Linked DNA regions of Coturnix japonica. The protein of the gene in region 2 interacts with the protein of the main gene of each other region in a biochemical or structural test. Links are inferred from orthologs where the notes say so. Each region holds a gene or a part of one and is shown on either strand. Other genes may lie near its edges.

What was found.
Region 1: the proteins of HTR2C (region 2) and DLG1 interact in a test that uses a peptide from one of them, tested with the Homo sapiens proteins (2 studies listed by IntAct, with this or other methods). The link is inferred for Coturnix japonica from reciprocal best matches to the Homo sapiens genes HTR2C and DLG1.
Region 3: the proteins of HTR2C (region 2) and SNTA1 interact in a test that uses a peptide from one of them, tested with the Homo sapiens proteins (2 studies listed by BioGRID and IntAct). The link is inferred for Coturnix japonica from reciprocal best matches to the Homo sapiens genes HTR2C and SNTA1.
Region 4: the proteins of HTR2C (region 2) and LIN7C form a complex in vitro, tested with the Homo sapiens proteins (2 studies listed by BioGRID and IntAct, with this or other methods). The link is inferred for Coturnix japonica from reciprocal best matches to the Homo sapiens genes HTR2C and LIN7C.

What each region holds. Positions count from the first base shown.
Region 1 is NC_029524.1:10,829,498-10,833,783, reverse strand, and holds the start of DLG1 (disks large homolog 1), read left to right. Parts: upstream 1-1,486; 5' UTR 1,487-1,769; coding exon 1,770-1,788; intron 1,789-1,860; exon of another isoform or gene 1,861-1,897; coding exon 1,898-2,029; intron 2,030-4,286. UniProt on the Homo sapiens protein: Essential multidomain scaffolding protein required for normal development. Recruits channels, receptors and signaling molecules to discrete plasma membrane domains in polarized cells.
Region 2 is NC_029519.1:2,578,339-2,583,006, forward strand, and holds the start of HTR2C (5-hydroxytryptamine receptor 2C), read left to right. Parts: upstream 1-1,589; 5' UTR 1,590-2,346; intron 2,347-4,668. UniProt on the Homo sapiens protein: G-protein coupled receptor for 5-hydroxytryptamine (serotonin).
Region 3 is NC_029535.1:2,062,987-2,067,476, reverse strand, and holds the start of SNTA1 (alpha-1-syntrophin), read right to left. Parts: upstream 2,994-4,490; 5' UTR 2,263-2,993; coding exon 2,001-2,262; intron 299-2,000; coding exon 113-298; intron 1-112. UniProt on the Homo sapiens protein: Adapter protein that binds to and probably organizes the subcellular localization of a variety of membrane proteins. May link various receptors to the actin cytoskeleton and the extracellular matrix via the dystrophin glycoprotein complex.
Region 4 is NC_029520.1:3,029,644-3,033,549, forward strand, and holds part of LIN7C (protein lin-7 homolog C), read right to left. Parts: intron 2,280-3,906; coding exon 2,161-2,279; intron 1,142-2,160; coding exon 1,070-1,141; intron 731-1,069; coding exon 521-730; intron 1-520. UniProt on the Homo sapiens protein: Plays a role in establishing and maintaining the asymmetric distribution of channels and receptors at the plasma membrane of polarized cells.

The DNA.
Region 1 (4,286 bases), on a different chromosome or scaffold from region 2:
TCATTGCATCAGTCGCAATTGCAGCACAAGCCTTTCTGAATGCTGCCTATAATAGTTTGATTTAAATGATGTTGCTTGAGCAGTAGCATAAATGATCCTTCGGTTATTGCCCCACTTCCCCCTGCTCTGTGTGAATGACACAATTTCCTTAGGGCTGGAGCCCCAAAAAGAAGGTATGGAACTAAGGGCAGCTCTACAACAGACCCTTACTGCAGTGTATTGGTGAAAGGGCTGTTTGCATTCATAGGGTATTTTCTATACGTGCTGGAATTTCCAAACCATATTCTAAAGTTTCATACCATGAGCTCTGGTTCAACCACTCGGAATCAACAAATATCCCCTGGAACTGAAATAGCAGCACTAGGACCAGCCCCAATTGGAAGTGCATTAGGGCCCACCTAATTGCTTCCTGACTCACTGATCCTTCATCCTGACCCTTCTTTGATCTTTATTTTTTCCTTTTTCTGGTGCATGAGTGACAAGTGAGAAACGCCATCTGAGGGTGTTAGATGGGATTATTCCTCTATCCCCACAATGACCTTGCGTTATGGGATTCCATCTTAACACTGAAAAAGCATTCAAGTCCTGATTAAGAAGAACTTATTCAGTTCATTTAATTGCAAGTGTTTATTCATTTTTCGCTCTGTAATAAATGTTTTTGTCAGACAACAAACCAACCTCACTGCGTGGATATCTCCTTTCTGCTGGCTCAATCTGGGCTGCTCTTCTCCTCATGTACATGTACAACTCTGACACCACGGGGAATATGGACACTTTTAAAGTACGTTCAGTGTTGTTGTAAACACATGAAGCCAATGTCCATCCTCACTTAATATGGTCTCATTATAAGATATGTGGACTTGTACCAGAGAGTGCCAGATCCCTGATGCTACGGGAATTGGTAAAGTTCCCATAAATTGGTAAAACACACTGAATGCACGTTGTTTTCTTCACAGATCTACACGGGCTCTTCCATGGCAGAAAGCTGAGGGATGAACGGGGCTGGATCAGAGCAGAGCTCTGTGCTGGGTCCGTTTCCTTTAGGCGTGTTCCACAGCCGAACTCAGCGCTGGTTTTTGACTATCAAACCCACGTCCATTCCCAGGAGGTTCTTCCCTTCCACGGGGATGTTCCCAAGCCGAGTCTGTATCCGAAAAACCAACAGGAGATGCAGCCTGGGATGGGGAACGGCAGCAGCGGGATGGGCTCTGACTCCCAGCTCTGCCTGCGGGACACGCGATGTGCACGTGGGCTTTGAAGTGCTTTAGACATAGAAATAAGTGCATAGACATAGTGAGCAATAAGTTCATAGACATAGTGAGCAATAGGTGCTATGGACACAGTGAGCACTAAGCGCTATGGACACACTGAACCTCTCACCTTGCCTCCTCCCCCCGCCCCTCCGTTAGGTACCGGCCCCGGGCCGCTCCGTGCGCTGATTGGGCGGCAGCCGGGCCCGGTCACGTGGGAGAGGGGGGGTGCTCTCCCCCCAGCCTCCAGGCCGCCATTTTGGCTGGAAAGTTTGGAATTCCCGAGCGCTGAGCCGGGCGGTGGTTGTGCTGCTGCTGCTGGTTGTGGTGGCGGCTCGCCCTGCCCTGCCCGGCTACTATCAGCCGCCCCACCGCTGGTCCCGACCCGTCCCTCTCCTCGCTGAGCCGCCCCGGAGGGTCGCTGTGCGGGGCGGTCCCCCCCGCTCCCGGCCGGCAGGGGGTGCGCGCCGCCGCCGCCCCGAGCCGGGTCGGGCTCCAAGTTGAGGCGGCGGAGCGGCCATGCCCGTCAGGAAACAAGGTGAGCGGGGTCCCGGACAAAGGAGCCGCGTGGGGCGGTCCCGGGGGGTGGTCGTGGGGCACCGTGTCCCACCTGTGTAGTGCTCACAGAGTCTCGTGTTCGGCCGTAGATACGCAGCGCGCCCTGCGCCTCCTGCAGGAGTATCGCTCCAAACTGAGCCAGGCGGAGGATCGGCAGCTGCGGAACTCCATCGAGAGGGTCATCGGCATCTTCCAGAGCAACCTCTTCCAGGCGCTGATCGGTGAGCGATGCCCCTCCTCTAGGGTCGGGCTCTTGTGTGTTGGTGGTGAGGGGAAGCGAGTTGTTGTGTTGTCGGAGCCCTCGTGTCCCTCAGTGCTGTGTGTGTATCACGCTGACACGTTGCTGTTGCAATGAGCTGTTTTCTGTCACTTACTTTGTATGAGTTTTCTGCCCTGGCGCTGCAACGTGTCTGTTGTGGGCTGTGCCGTGCAGTCGGGTTTTCCACGTCTGTTTCTGTGGGTTTAAACAATTTATTAGGAATATGTTTTAGTTGTGAGCCCACGTGTCCACAATGAGTGAGCTGAAGTGGTTTTACTCTTAGAACTCGGGCAAATCTCCCTGCTGAAGGATCCCTAAAAATGCTGCAAGTTGTGTATTTCAGGAGCAGAATTAAAGTGAATGGAAGGAAACTTCTCATGTTGCAGGTGGCTGTGCTGACTTTTTCCTCTTCGGTTGTGAAGTGCAGTGAGAACCTCACTCATTCCCAGCTTCAGAGCACTTCTGGTGCTTTTTCTCTTTAGCCATTAATGTAAATATTGCTGAAATCATTCCGTGAAGCCTTGAATTTCCTGCACATCTCTTAGAAAACAAACAGAGCAAAATAAACACGTGGGGTATGAGCACAACTTGCAGAATCCTGACCTGACTTTGCAGCTTCTCCAGGGAGGCAGGGAGCTGTGGTTTCTTCCTGATTGGTTGTCACTGCGTATGTAACAGCTTGGAGTTTCATGCCCTTCCCTTTTAACAAAGTAACTTGCACATAAACTTTGTTTTAACATTGTAGACAGTCTGGGTTTCAGCTGTTACTTCGCAGTTACATGGTTTGAAGCCTATCTCACAAGTTTACATCTTCATAGTGCTGTGTCTTTGTGTTGTGGTGGAAACATGAGGAGGGTTGAAACATCGCTGCACATGAACTGCTTTCTCTTGGAGCATTTGTATCATCTGCAGGTGGGTTTTCAGAAGTTGGGCATCTTATGGAACATCTCCTGTATTATGTTCCTGATAGATGGTTGTTCAAATGGGTCTGTTCTCATAGGACACCTCTAGAAAGGGTTCACTTGCAGGAGCTCAGTTGATGCTCAGCAGCTCCGTGATGAGGATCTGCGCGCCTCTGTGTGATGTGTGTGAACAGACTTTGTTCTTTGCTGAATGAAATCATTGAAGTTGTGTATCGGAAGCTTAATACTGTGGTTATGCTTCTTATTTTCACCTGGGAAATCTCGCTCTTAGTTATTAATTGAATGAGATACAAGTCAGTAGTACGGAAATGGCCTTTGGTATTGTAACCTGTAAGACACACTTTATTCTAAAATCTGTAACAAGAGCCAGGTTGTCTGTGTAACTTAGCTCTTGGCAGTAGCACTCTTCAATTGGGGTTGCCACGTGCCTGCTGGAGGGCTTCATGCCTTGTTTTCTGATCTGTCAGAAGTTCTGTTGTAGCCGTGGGGTCTTTGATTCTGTCCGGTTCAGTTGATCTCAGCGTGCACAAATAGGTGTTGTGCTATTTGAGAGCATTTCACATTCATTTTGCATTTAGTGGTTAACTGTGTGATTGTATGTTAAGGAGCGTGCTTTAGTGCTCCAAGCTGTTCCTCTGAAATGTGATAGCAGAGAGTCACTTCCCAGCAATTGATGCTGTAACTTCAGTATTCTTCCTTTAACCTGCTCCATGGAAATGAGTTGGAGAAGTACTTGCTCATGGCAGGCTGCTCCTGGCAACATCTTTATACACTGGGACTACTGCTTGGTGCCCCCTGGGAGGGGGTCAGCTCCCTGCAGGGAGTAGGGGGCTGCCAGGAAAAGGTGCTGTGAGAGATGGCTGTGTTGGCTGAGAAGCCCTTGAGCACTAACTGCCCTCCTCCTACCTGTCCTCTTGCAGTGGAGGCTTGTGAACAGGCTGGACAAAGCTGTGCTGCTGGTTGGGCTTCCCTTGAATATTGCACTTGTAATTATCTTGTAGCTGATTTTTCAGGTGTGACTTTTATAGGAATTGTGCTGTGTCTCCAACTTAAACATCCACAGCTGCACTGACAGAAGCTTCCGTCCAAGCTCACATACTTTCCTTTAATTCCTTCAACAGATTTTAGTTCAGAAATCTTGCAAAATTGACCTGTTTCTTACATACAACAGTCTGCTTTAAAATGACTTGAATTAGGGCAGTGGCGACTCGGTGTGAGCAGTGTTACAAAATTGACGTTATCACATCAGTGTTATTTCTGTAAGTGAAATAACTGCAGTAATTTTAAGTCAGTAAC
Region 2 (4,668 bases):
TGCTGTGTTTGCATGCTAATCAGACACAGTTCATGAAGCCTTATACTTGAGAAACCCTCAGCTGTGCTCTGTGGAGCAAACTTGAACTTTGATACGCAGGGGAAAATCTTTAAGAGTGTAAAGCCTTAAGTGTCTCTGCCAGCATTTTGATGACTACTTATGCATGTTTTGTAGCTCTGGTGTCAAAAAGGCTCGCTTCTCTTTAAGACACTTGTGATTAATAAAGAAAAACTTGAACTCATTCCCCATGGTATTTTTTGCACAAAGCTGCGTGGCCTGGAAGCAGTGATATTTTGTGTGGAATTTGTCTCACTGAATGATTGCATTTTAATAGACCTTCTGCACAAGCGCTACAGGAAAGCAGCTATTTGTTATGCTGCGCTGTGTATTTGCGTCAGGTAACATTTCACTGACTCTGTGCCAAAAGTATGAGGTCTGCTCCTTTTCTATCAGACAGCTTTTCAGAGAAGCCTGGAGTTAAACTGTGCTTAACTTGGAGCTGCTTCACCATAGTAATTTGTCTTGTCATTGCTAAGGTTAAATTGTCTACGCTGCTGCTAATGATAATGAAAGAAGGTAGCAGTCGAGTTAATTTGGGACCTGCAGTGGGCTTGGAGAATCCAAGGCATTAATGTGACCTTGTGTGACTCAAGGCAGTTCAACCAGGTCCAGAGCTTCAACCGGCTCAGTCCTGCCTGGAAAATGCTGAGGAAATGTAAATGCACATCTCTAATAGGGCAATTTCCCTATTTGGCAGACTTGTAAGGGGTGTTTCAGATACTACTGCTGCAGGGGTGGGAAAGACTGGATGTGTTGGAGTGAATGTCTTGATGCACTGAAGTGCAAAATGATGTCTGAAAGAATGCAGAGAGGTTATCAGCACAGTGAGGCCTTTGGCTAGTGCCCTGCTGGGCTGTGGGTGGGAGATGGCTGCAGCAGCAGATGTTGTGGCCAGGCTGAGACCTGCTGTGCTCATTGCAGCCTGAGCAGCATGTTGAGGTGTCTCACAGCTCAGAGAGGTATTACAGAAGGGAGATCTGTTATGCATGGCATCAGGGTGCAGAGCTGCACCTGCTGGTGCTGCAGGTATCTCTATGGGGAGCAGCACTGCTGATTGCACTGTGCCAGGTCCAGAAGAAGGGTACCAGATCATGGGATGCTATGTGTTCTCCTTGCCCTGTAGGGTGCAGGCAGGGACAGTGGCTGTATGTGTGTGGGACAGGGATGTGTGTGATGTAGTGACAGCTGTGCTGTGCTGGGACCGGGGCAAGCATCCCTGCTGGGTGACAGTGCCACAGCTGGATCCTGGAGATGAGGGAGGCCTCATTTCTGAGCCCTGATGTGGGAGATCTGGGGCTAGGCCTGCTATTCCTTCCCCTCCAGGCTGAGGGGCTCTTTCCTTCCCTGTGGGCTGTCTCCTTGCCCTGAGCCAACAGAGCTCCTTCTGGGCTCTGGCTGAGGCACCGGGTGGGAGCTGCAGGCATCCGCATCTCCAGCAGGCTCGTGTGAGCAATGTGCCTTTAAGACTAGCAGGAGAGCAATAGTATCCCCCTCCCTCCTGTTAATTGTAGCATGTTTTTCAGCCATGCTTTCCAGTCACATTCGCAGCTTGTGAGAGAGAGGGAGCAGCGCTGAAGCTCCCCGGCTGAGCGCTGTTTGTGCCGGCAGGACAGTGTGTGCTTGCCCACGCTGTGGGCGCCTGCGGCTGATGGACGACGGAGCTGTGTGCTGGGGGCAGGAGCCCCGTGTGCCCCAGTGTCAGTGACACCGCTGTATCCCTCACCTCCTCACCTTGTCTTTGGCTGTGTCCTCTGACGTTCTGGCCCCTCCGGGAGCTGTGTGTTCTGCCGGTGCTGGGGTGATGCGGTGGGAGCTGTGCGGTGCCTGCCAGGGGATGCTGTGGGCTTCCGTGGGATTGCTTGGCTCCCAAAGTGACTGCAAGTAACTCCAGGTTAGGACTGCTTCTCGGAGGATGTCCTGTGCATTTCCACCTGTTTCCCTCCAGCCTCGCTACGGAGTATTTGGAGTATTTTGTTTGCCCCTGCCAGTGGAGGACAGAGTCGGAGGCCTCCAGAGGGTTAAGAGCATCTGCCTTTACGCTAAGTGTTCAAGCAGGAAATAATCTGCAGAGATACATGTGCAGCAATTCAACTGCTGCTGCTTTCCCAGGCTGCCGCCGCCACTGCTGCTCGGTGTGTGTCAGGAGCTGCGCTGCTTGCAGAAGATGCTTTCTTGGTGTGTCCGAGGTGCTGGGCATGGCAGCAGAGCCCCTGCTCCTAGGGCTGGGGTGAATATCTCCATCCATGAGGAATTATGTTGACCTGCAGGCTCTGCTGGCTCAGTGAGGTAGGTGCTGCTCCCTGTGCAATGCGCCGTGAGCTTTATCTGTGGGATACAGTTCCCTTTTCGTCCTGGGCTATGCTGTCAAAATGCATTTCAGTGGGAAACAGCTTCAGTTTGCAGCCTAAAGCTGGACGGAAATATGTGTCTGTGTTTTTTGTGCTTGCAGCAGGAAGGGAGAGTGTCGGGTATCCTCAGGGATACCTTTCATGCCTGGCAATAAAGTTGTTGCGCTTAATTGGAACAAACTTGCTTTGGTCTGTGAAATGCACCTGGGAGCTCTGCTGCTTCCTGACACGACCTTTGGAAGGGGCTGGCTGCAGCACACGGGGTTATGTTTGGTTCAGGTGCAGGCATACAGTGCACTCTACAGGTCCCTCAATTTTGCTCCTGTGGATGTGGGGAGGATGGTGGACGTCCACATGGAGACAAAGTGTTGCTGGCAGGGAGACAATGTTTTCTGGAGGAGTGAGATTACACCAACAGGGAAAAGGAGGTGCTCTGCACTGAGGGAGAGGGGATTTGAAGGTTCAAAGGGATGATTTTGGTACTTGGAAGCAGAGAAAGAAATGCGTTTTAGGAGTTGTCTGAGTCTGATTTGTGCTTTGCTATCCCAGCTCTGTGAAGAGGAGCTCTGTTCATCTCTGCTAACCGCTTTACTACCTGCAGCGTTCAGTTGAAGCTATTTTAAAATGATTATTATAATTTTTGTACCAATAGCTAAGGAGGAAAATCTGCTAATGCCAACAAATTTCAACATCAGGTTTCCCCAGGCTTGCTAAGGATGGTGCCTTCTTGAGGAGTCTCTCTCAAGACCAGCAGCAGCCCAGGCTGTGCCTCTCTCACCATCAGACCATTCATTCTGCCTTCTCGTGAGACTGCCAGTGTGTGCTTTTCTCTGTAAAGACTGAGCTGAAAGGGAAGTTCTCAGACATTTTCCCCTGGAAAAAGCAGAGTGGTGTGCACTGGGTACTGATTTGATACCAATTTGATACCAGTGTTCATGGCTAACTTGTATGTGTGTGTGTTTGCATGTTGGTTTATGAGCAAGTGATCACAGAGCTTGCCAATGAGACCTGACCATGTGGAATGGGTGGGCACTGCCTGGGTTATGTGCTTATGTCACATGGTGAGAGGCTTGTGCGCATTCCTGGCATTGCAGGTCTATGGAAACAGCACGGCCAATGGTGCCACTGCTGTGAAACTGTTCCAGAAGTGTTTCTGTGGCATTGTAGCAGAACAAATGTGTTATAACTGCACTCTTTGCAGGGGAGAAAGGGCAGGATTGTCATGTTCGCTGTAAATGTTTTAGTCACTGTTGTTATCTTTGGGTTTCCTGACTGAGTTGCCACCTGAGCTGGTAGCTCAGAGCATTTGTTGATGCCTCCTGAACTTCCCAAGACTGTTCTGCCGTGCTCAAATCATCTCTAGCTCATCTCACAGGGAAGGCTCAGGAAATTCTCCCCTTCTTATCAGCAAACTGGGGCCAAATGCAGGAAAGAACATGCTCTTTTTTCAAGAAGAAGATATTTGTGGAGCCTCCTTTGGGATCTGTTGGGAAAGACCTCTGCTGCTCTGCAGGGCCTCTGTGTTGGTGGTGGAGCAGCAGGAGTGGTCTGGTGGCTTTGCTGCTTCTATGACACCAGAAGCCAGAACCCAAGGGATGGAGGCTGCAGTGGTGCTTGGGGAGCAGCTGCTCCACTCTGTCCTGCGAAGGGGTGCTCCTTGCTTCCCAAGAAGGAGGCAGAGCTGGGCAGCAGCGCTCCATAGCAACGCACACATCTCCTGCAAATGGGAGAAAAATCTCCTGGTTTCACTCAGAGGTGGAAATATGAATGTGTGAACACCCAGTGGAGAATCTCAGCAGTGTAGTGCTGGTATAAAGCCATCTGAATGGCTTCTCTATAAAAATGCGTTTATGAAATACGATGAGCATTAAATAACCAAATTACCTCTGCAGGAAACACTAGAGAGATTATATGGGAGTCATCCTACTTATTGCTATTTGCAGCCAGGCAGAATGGTGATTAGAGCTGGCTGAATTAAAGCACAGCGTTTCTCGCAAACATGCTTACAAAATTCAGAACAAATTTGGTGCTTGCTGGCCAGCAGCAGTTTTGGCTGTTCTTGTGCCCCTGTTCCAGCAAGTGCATTTTTCATCAAGTACTTTTGCTAAAGCAACACAGTGTTGGAGCTTGTTCATGTAGGCTGAAGGTGTGAGTGGGAATATGTGCCTCATAGCTGTACTCTCATCTACTTAGGGAACAAAAACACTCCATTTGACCTCCTGATTATTTCTAAACAGTGTTTCTGGTCAGTGACAGTTTT
Region 3 (4,490 bases), on a different chromosome or scaffold from region 2:
GGGAGAGCTCCAGCTGAGGAGGAGGATTGAAATGGAAGTTCAGAGCCTGGAGCAGAGGACATTAAGGTACCCACAGGGTGTACATAAGCAGGGCACCCCGCTGCCCCCATACCTTCCAGCACCACCTCTTTGCCCGTTTTCTTCAGTGCCTGCACCGCCTCGTCGTGAGTGGCTTCGGATAAGTCAGTGCCATTCACGGACAGGATGGCATCTCCCACATACAGTGCCTCGGTCTGGTCTGCTGCCAGTCCCTTGAAGATCTTGGAGATGAGGATGGGCATCTTGTTCTCCCGGCCACCTGCGGGCAGAAGGGGCACCAAGCAGTGAGGGGACACTGAGCAATTAGGGGCACAGGGCTGCTCAGTGCCCACACAGTGCCCAAATACCTCAGAGCTTTATGGCAGACACATGTTAAGTGCTTCAAAAAACCATCCGAGTGGCTGCAGATTTCCTTGCTGAACAAACACACGCCCTGACCGCCTCCCCATCACTTCTGGCAGGAAACTGTGTCACTATTTGCATTATTAACTGTGTGTGCTGAGCAGCCTTCCCTGCTCTCAGGACCCCACGGTCTCAGTGGGGCAGCAGCTGAGTGCTGGAGAGGCAAAAGAGCCCCAGAGCAGCAGCTCAGCCGCAGGACTACCTGCTCCCCACTCCTCTCTGTCTCCATTCGGGCTGCTCCCCACTCTTCAGCCCACCAGGACACTCTCAAGGCCTCCGGGCAGCTCAAGGAGATCAATTTGCACTTTAAGTTCTGAACCTGTAGGAGATGCCAGCAGCCCCGCCTGGCGCTGCCCACGCTCAGCGCTGGGACAGCGTGTGCCGGGCACCCCCTCACTCCCCCCTACCCCCCTCCCACGGGCAGGGACCGGCAGCGTGACACCTCCCAGGGCTGCACCCGCTGTGCCGCCAGCATTGCTCCGCTCGGATTTCTGCAGAGCCTCTCCGGGAGCTGAGGGCTCCTCCGGCTATCAGCTGTCAAGAGGCCCCCGCGGGGGCTGCTGCTGGCTGCCGAGCCCAGCTTGGAAGCAACGCCTCGCAACCACCCATTCTGGGCTGTGTGCGTGGAGAGGGAACCACCGCCCGGAGCACCATGCGGTACACGACCCTGCAGGAGAAGGATCCTAACCCTAACCCTAACGATGCTAACCCTAACCCTGCAGGGCTGCATGAAGCACCAGAAACCCCAAGTGAAGTACTGTCTGGGGTTAGGATGCAGCTGAAATGCTTTAACCAGAAGGTCCATTTTAGATTCTGTCCCACGGGCCATGGACAGGAGCTGGCTGGCAGCGGGGTACCCGTCCCTCCATGCCCCCACCCCCTGCAGGGACAGCAAGGTTTGGCTGCGTTTAATGGCACATGGTCACCCCCCTGCAAAGCAGCAGAGGCACAAGGCAGCCCAAGTGCTGCCCGCCCGCCTGCAGCTCCCCGTTTGGATCACGGCTCCTTGGTTTCCACCTACGTCACTGCAAAAATAAAGTTTAGCTGAAGCAAGTAACGTTTCTCCTTTCCTGGGAGAGCCGCAGAGCCGGCAGCGCTTCGCAGCCCGGGGTTGGTTACAAGGGGGGATTGCACCTCCCAAAAGCGCTGCCGAGCTGCAGCACCCACAGCCCCAACAAGCGGTGAGGGCTCACCCCGGACCCCTCACGGGGACCCGCACCCGACACACCGCCCCACCCAGCAGCGCCCGGCAAGGAGCGCGGTGAAGGCTGAGCCCAATGCGGCCACGTCAGACAGCGGCAGCCCCCCGCACCCCCCCTCGCGAAGTTCCCGGCCCGAAGTTCCCGCAAAGTCCCCAGGACGGGGGTGGGGGCGGCGGGGGACACCGGGGGACACCCGACCGGGGCAGAGCGCTGCGTTTGGGGCGGCCAGGAGGGGACACCGCACCGGGGTCACGCAGGACGCAAGGACACGCGGGCGGAGCCCTCCGGTCGCAGCAGGGCAGCGTAGGTCCTACCTGCCGCCGCCGCCGCCCACTCCTGGTACTCCCCCCCCCTCACCTTTGATGCTGATGCCGAGCCCCCCCACGTCCTGTTTGACGACGCGCACCGTGCGCCTGATGTTGGCGAGCGCCTCGGGCACGCCGGAGCTCTGCTCCCCTCCGTTCAGCTGAGCCGGCGGAGGCTCCCCGGGCCCGGGGCCGTCGGCGGGGCTGACGCTCAGGGTGTCATCGCTCAGGGTGAGCAGGACGCGAAGCCACTGTCCGCCGGGACCGCGCAGCTCCAGCAGCCCGCTGCGCGCCCCTCGCCTGCCCGCCGCCATCTTCCGCGCATGCCGGGCCCGGCCCCGCCGCTCCGGCAGCTCCGCTCCGCGCTGCCCCGCGCACCGCCCGGCGGAGCAACGAGCCCCGCGCACCGCCCCCGGCCCGGCCCACGCCCGCCCCGTCGGGGCAGCGCCGCGCTGCGGGGCTCCGTGCCCGAGTATGGGACGGGGAGCGCCGGGAGGGGCATGGGGAGCTCTGCACACCCTCACTCGGACCCTCCCGGCTCCGGGCACCGCGGTGCGGTTGTGTCACAGGGGGACCCTGCGGGGCACGTCGGGGCGCAGCGGTGTCCGTGCCGAGAACCGGGTGCCACGAAAGCTTCGGGCGTGCTGCGGGGTACACGAGTAACTGCTGTCGTGGAAGCGAGCAGCGCTGTCAGGCAGAGCCAGAAGTGACTCGAAGCGAACTCTGGACTTATTAAGGAAAACTGCGATGATGAAAAGCAATGGCAGCTCTTGGGGGCGGTGGGGGGCAGCCTCAAGAGCTCTCCCACTGGCGTCCGACGACGTCGGTGCCCCAAAGATGGGTGCAGACAGCAGCAGGGAGGATTTTTGGAGGCATTCAGAACAGTCTTGCTTTTTTTCTTTCCTTTCCCTGTCCTGCTTCTTGAAAACAGGAACGGTGTTTGTTTCCTTTGGCAGATCCGCATTTCCTCCTGCAACCGAGTGGCAGCAATGAGGGATAAAAAATACCTCTGGGTACATCCCCTGTGCCCCTTCGGGCAGCTCCAGAGCCCTGGGGTGGGGCTGCAGGTCCCCAAGCCCCAGGCTCTGCAAACGCAGCCTTAAAGGAATTGAATCCCGTTCACGCACAAGGGGAGGTGGGGGGGGTATTGCAGAGCAGGGGGCTGCAGCCCTCCCCACCCCCACACGGAGGCAGCAGCGCTCCCCCCACGCAGAGGCAGCTGTGGAATTTCTTGAGATTGCGGCAGAGGAAACCCTGAAGGTTTTTCCCTTGCAAAGCACAGCTCAGATATTCCAGTTTTCAATCCAAATTCTGCAGTTCGATTGGAGTGACTTTTTGGGTTTGCCTAACAGTGATGCTCCCACGCCCATCACACCCCCCCCTCCCCCCCCCCAGTCCTCTGTGCATCCCACAGACCCTGAGCTGCTGTGCCCATAGCAGAGGGGGTTCAGTCCTTTTGCTGCCAGTTGGGGTCACTTTGCCCCTTGCCACTCGCAGTCTTTTTTCTTTCCAATGCTATTTCCAGCACAGGTGATTATTAAGGCTGTATTCTCATTGTAAGCCACGTCAGAAAGCAGAGACACTGCTCCCAGTGCCACAGGATGGCACCATCCAGGGATATGTGATATGTTTGCTTCCCCAGCCCTGGCAGCACTATGCAAAGCAGCAGTGGGAAGCAGAGCAGTGCCACACAGGGGGAAACCTTGTGCCATGCCACACTGCTGGGCAGCAAGGCCATGTGTGCAGCCCCACATCATGGCACAGAGGTGCTGCAGTGCCCGTGGGATGGTGATATCTTCACTGTGATTCTGTCACAAGGCTGAGCCCATCCCATCCTCCCCCTGCAGAACATCCCCGCTCCCGGACGTGGTGGGTGAGCTGCTATTATTAGCTTCAGCTCTTGGCACACACAGGAGCTGTGTCAAAGCCCACCCGTCTATTTATAGAGCGCTGTTAGCTGCGTGAATTTACATGAATCACTTCTGAAACAGAAGAAAAGCTCGTGTTTGGGTCTGAAGTGGCATCCCCAAGGCTGACAGCAGCACCTCAGGAGAGCATGGGGCAGCAGGTCCTGCCTTGCTGAAACAGATCAGAGGCTGCAAATGCACTGGAGAGGATGGGCAGGGAAATAAAAGAGATTCAGATGTGCACCATGTACTTAACCGAGTGATTCATCCCCTGGTATACAGGAAATGTAGTGAAATGGTGTTGTCTGCCCAAACTGTGCAGTCTCCGACTCCTCCAGTTGACTTTAAAATGTTTTGCTTTGGGACACAGTCACTCCTGGCCGAGTTTCTCCCTTCTCAGTCTGGGTTCTGCTCTCTGGATCCCCATAAGACAGCCACACCAGCTGAGCTCTGTGCTGTGGAAGCGCTTTGCTGCTGCACAGCAGATGGGTTATCAAGGCTGGATGAGTGCTGTCAAAGAAACAGGAAAAAGAAGCACCTGGGGACTGAGATAGGTGTGGGGAAAGCAGGAGCTGGGGGATGCAGCAGGGTGAGCTCAGCCCTGCCAGCAATGCTGTGCAACCTGCAATGGAAGA
Region 4 (3,906 bases), on a different chromosome or scaffold from region 2:
TTTGAAGCTTATAGCACTTAAGTAAAGATAACTGAAGATAACACCACCTTGTTTTTCCATCTTTCTACAGCTTTCATTAAGCAGTAGTGCTCCTACTGGGATAATGACAAAGAGCCCCTGCTCAGTCTACCATCATGCATTATAATTTACTACTTACCTTTGAAGCTGCAGAAAACTAAGTTAAAACCTGCATCATCAAATTGGATAAAACAGGAAGCCATAATGGTAGTTCAATACTATTTCAGAACAAGACCTACCAGATTTATACAACTTTTCAGAATTTGAAACGTTGACATAAATAGTACCCATCCCAGTTGAAAAATGTAACCAAAGCATAATCCAAGAACTCTCACTGCACAGAACTAGGTTCAGAAACCTAAGGAAGATGTTCTTGAGAGGACAATAAGAAGCAGTTTTGCTAGGATCGAAAGACAACCTCAAGCTTGTGCCACGAATATTCTACGTATGCCCCCAAGTGGAGACAAGTAGTTACTGCTATAGAAAGTGAAAAAATTCCTACCACTCCGTTTACAGAAAGGAGCTGGTCTCCACGTTTCAGGCCTCCGTGCCTATCAGCTATACCACCAGGGATAATTCGGGAGATATAGATGGGAGAATTTTGTTCTTTGCCTCCCATGATGTTGAATCCAAGACCTTCTTCGGTTTTTGGCAGTTCAACCACTCTGGGATGCGAATGACCTTCACTAGCAGCAAATGCAGCTACAGTGGCCTGTAAAAAATAAGATCTTGCTATTTACACGACTACAAACTCCTCAGCTTGACACAGTGAGCAGGCTGAAAAATTAGTTTCATCTTAAAGTGCTAAAATATTAAGAATAATCAGATCAATTTCTTAAACAACATCGGGATTAAAAAAAAAATTAGAACTCAACGAAGACAATATAAGTGGAAAAAACTTTTAAAAAATGTCTTTTGTTATCCCTTTTAATGACCTCATATGTTTATCTATTTGACCAAACATCTAGATAATACATTTCTGGATTTTAAATACCTTTCCTCTGCTTCTAAAGTAACAAATTAACACATTTTACTCAAGTTTGGCGTTTACCTTCGCTGTTGCATTAGCTCTCACTTCTGGGCTACTGCTGATATCCACAGTTTCATATACGTGTTCGTACACCTTTAAAGATAAGACAACTTAAGCACGGTGAAAAGAGTTATTTTTCTGCTTAGGTAACATAACAATCAGTTACAACTTAAAACTGCATACATGAAAAAAACCAAACCAAACACCTTTAGCAAATGACTCCCTGATTCACTGCAAGGTGCCAAGTAAAGTATCTACCATACTATGAAGAAACAACTCTCTCAATATCTTTACTGCTCAGATAAGCCACACACATTCTAGGTCTCAACCCAAATCCTCTCACTCAGTAAGTATACAGACCTCACCACAACATCTGACAGCAGATGTGGGTGACTAACTTCTCATATTTGATTTAATTGGACTTTTCCATAAGGGTGCATGAAAAATTATGCAAGGGTGGATCTTCAAAGCTCACCCAACAATCAAATCTGTATTTCCCTTCACCTGATGCAACCAACTGAATACATAATGAAAATAAAGGCTATTGAAAACACAAAGGCCATAAGAATACTAATGCTAACTGGGTTAGTGGTAGCTAACACAACAAACGCAGTCCTTCATAAGATGAAAACATCAAGAGGACTTCCACGTCCACAAACAGATCTTGCAAATTGTTGCAGGTGTTATCAGCAGTGGTAGCACCATCACCGCCACCAACAGGAGGATGCATTCAATCATCTCAAATTACTGAAAGAGCATCAGGAACGAAGATGAGGTGTGCAAAGCTATGATGCCAATCTAGCTTAAAAGAAAAGGCAATTTATACTTTGCCCGTTCTTACCAGCCAACAGGATAACAGGGCACTACCTGCCAGCAAGGCAGCTAGATAACCTCCAAATAACCTCCAAGAAGTAATTTGTTTATCAGATACTGTTTAATACAACACACCTATAGTACCCCTAAACTGTTTTCTTCTCAACTTGTAAAAAATAAGCCGTCTTCTATAAAGCTCCATAAGTCAAATTCAGTTTTTTGAAGTTCAGTGCATTAACACTTCCACTTTTCAAGGTACCACTTTTAATGCAAGCTAATTGCTTACACAGTTAACTTACCTCCCTTACAGCATTACAGAATTCACTCTGAAGGACCCTTTGCAAAGCCTGTAGTTTCTGCGGTGGCACTTCTCCACTTCTCTGTAATTTTTCCAGCAATTCAATTGCTCTGCAGATATCTACAGAAAAAAACAAAAATGAAGTGTTCATTATGAGCAATGCCTGAAAAGATCCTACTGGTGGCTTTGTTTGCTTTTGCTTTTTAAACAAAGTTAATGCGGTAGCACTGTTTTGTATGCATAAAACTCCGTAATTTATGTAATGTATGGCTATCATTTTGTCAAAGCAATCTATAGTATCACCAAGCAAACTAACATACCTTTTACATTCAAAAACTAGTTTACCAGAAATACACCCAATGTTTTCCCTACAAAAAAGGCTGACTTGGGCATGAGTAGTCTGTAATTATATTAATTGGATGCCAAACAGCAGCTGGAATGGTAAAAACTTGATTAAACCTCATAGCAGTTTGAAAATACTTTCTTACTTCCTCCACCTACAATGTGCCTGATGTATCAAAGCGCTAGGAAAAAGAACCCAAATTCCTCCACGATCTCTGCTGAGTGTTCTGTAGTAAAGATCCCCAAACTCAACATTTTTTCCTCATTTCTTGACATGTCCTGAAAGACCAAAACTATCAGTGAAACCAAAATTTCATCTGAAGAATTTGATTTCAGACCAGTACCGAGCAAGATGGGCATCAAACATGGCATCAAAGCTATGCGGCGTTCTGCAGGCAGCTCTTCAAGAGTAGCAAGGATTAATATTCCTCACTTACATTTCTAGAGTGACCATTCTTCTGAATCACGTTAAGTCCATGAATAGCAGTAGAACAGTCTCTCAGAAAAGCAGGTAGACATTATGATCTTCGTTATCAGAAAGGCAGACAGAAGCAGTGATTAATCTACCGCATAAATAAGGCATAGATCATTCTAGAAGATGAAGTCTGGAGCATGATTATGTCCTAAATACATTACTTCCTCTTTTCCATAATTAACCTTCAGGGAATCATTTTTCACGTGGAACATCTTCTGTGCTGCTGTAATGCCACTAAATAGACAAGCAGCCACCACAAACTTCAAGACCAATGTCTATCTTGTTACACTCCGAAATTGAGGTGCACTGACAGAAGACAACCCACAGTTCATGCTGCCCACTTCTGTAAGGCATCAGTTAGATATCTCGCAGACACTCATAGCAGCCGCTAGAGTCATTTAAAGATGGTATGATGTAACTTCTTGAACTGGTCATCCACCAGCACAGTTAAAGCTGTGTTTGTATCACAGACAGGATGTAAATCACTCATGGAACAGCACCCGAATATTACAGTTGCAGTCGCACGCATTGCTTCAGATGAGAGCTCAAGTTCATCCTCACTATTTAGGAAGCATTTTCAATTTGTTAAGAGGATCAGGTATCTAAGCAAATACGCATCACATTTGAAACCCCGGCTATTGCTAACTCCAAGTCTGCTGTGTTTGCTGCATACTTGCAATCTGTACAAAAATTACAGAATGAAAAAAATGCTTTTGATTTCCCAACACACATTTGGCATTGAATTTGGCTCACAAAACGTTTGGTGAAATGAAAGACAGCAGAGGTGTGATTGTTCATTTCTCTATCTTAGTTATGTAAATCCATAAGTATTCTCAGTAAACCCTATGTTTAGCATCAGTAGTACAAGATCTCTTTAATCTCCTGAAATCTTGCACTGAACAGCTTGCAGCAGAACAATCAACAAATGGA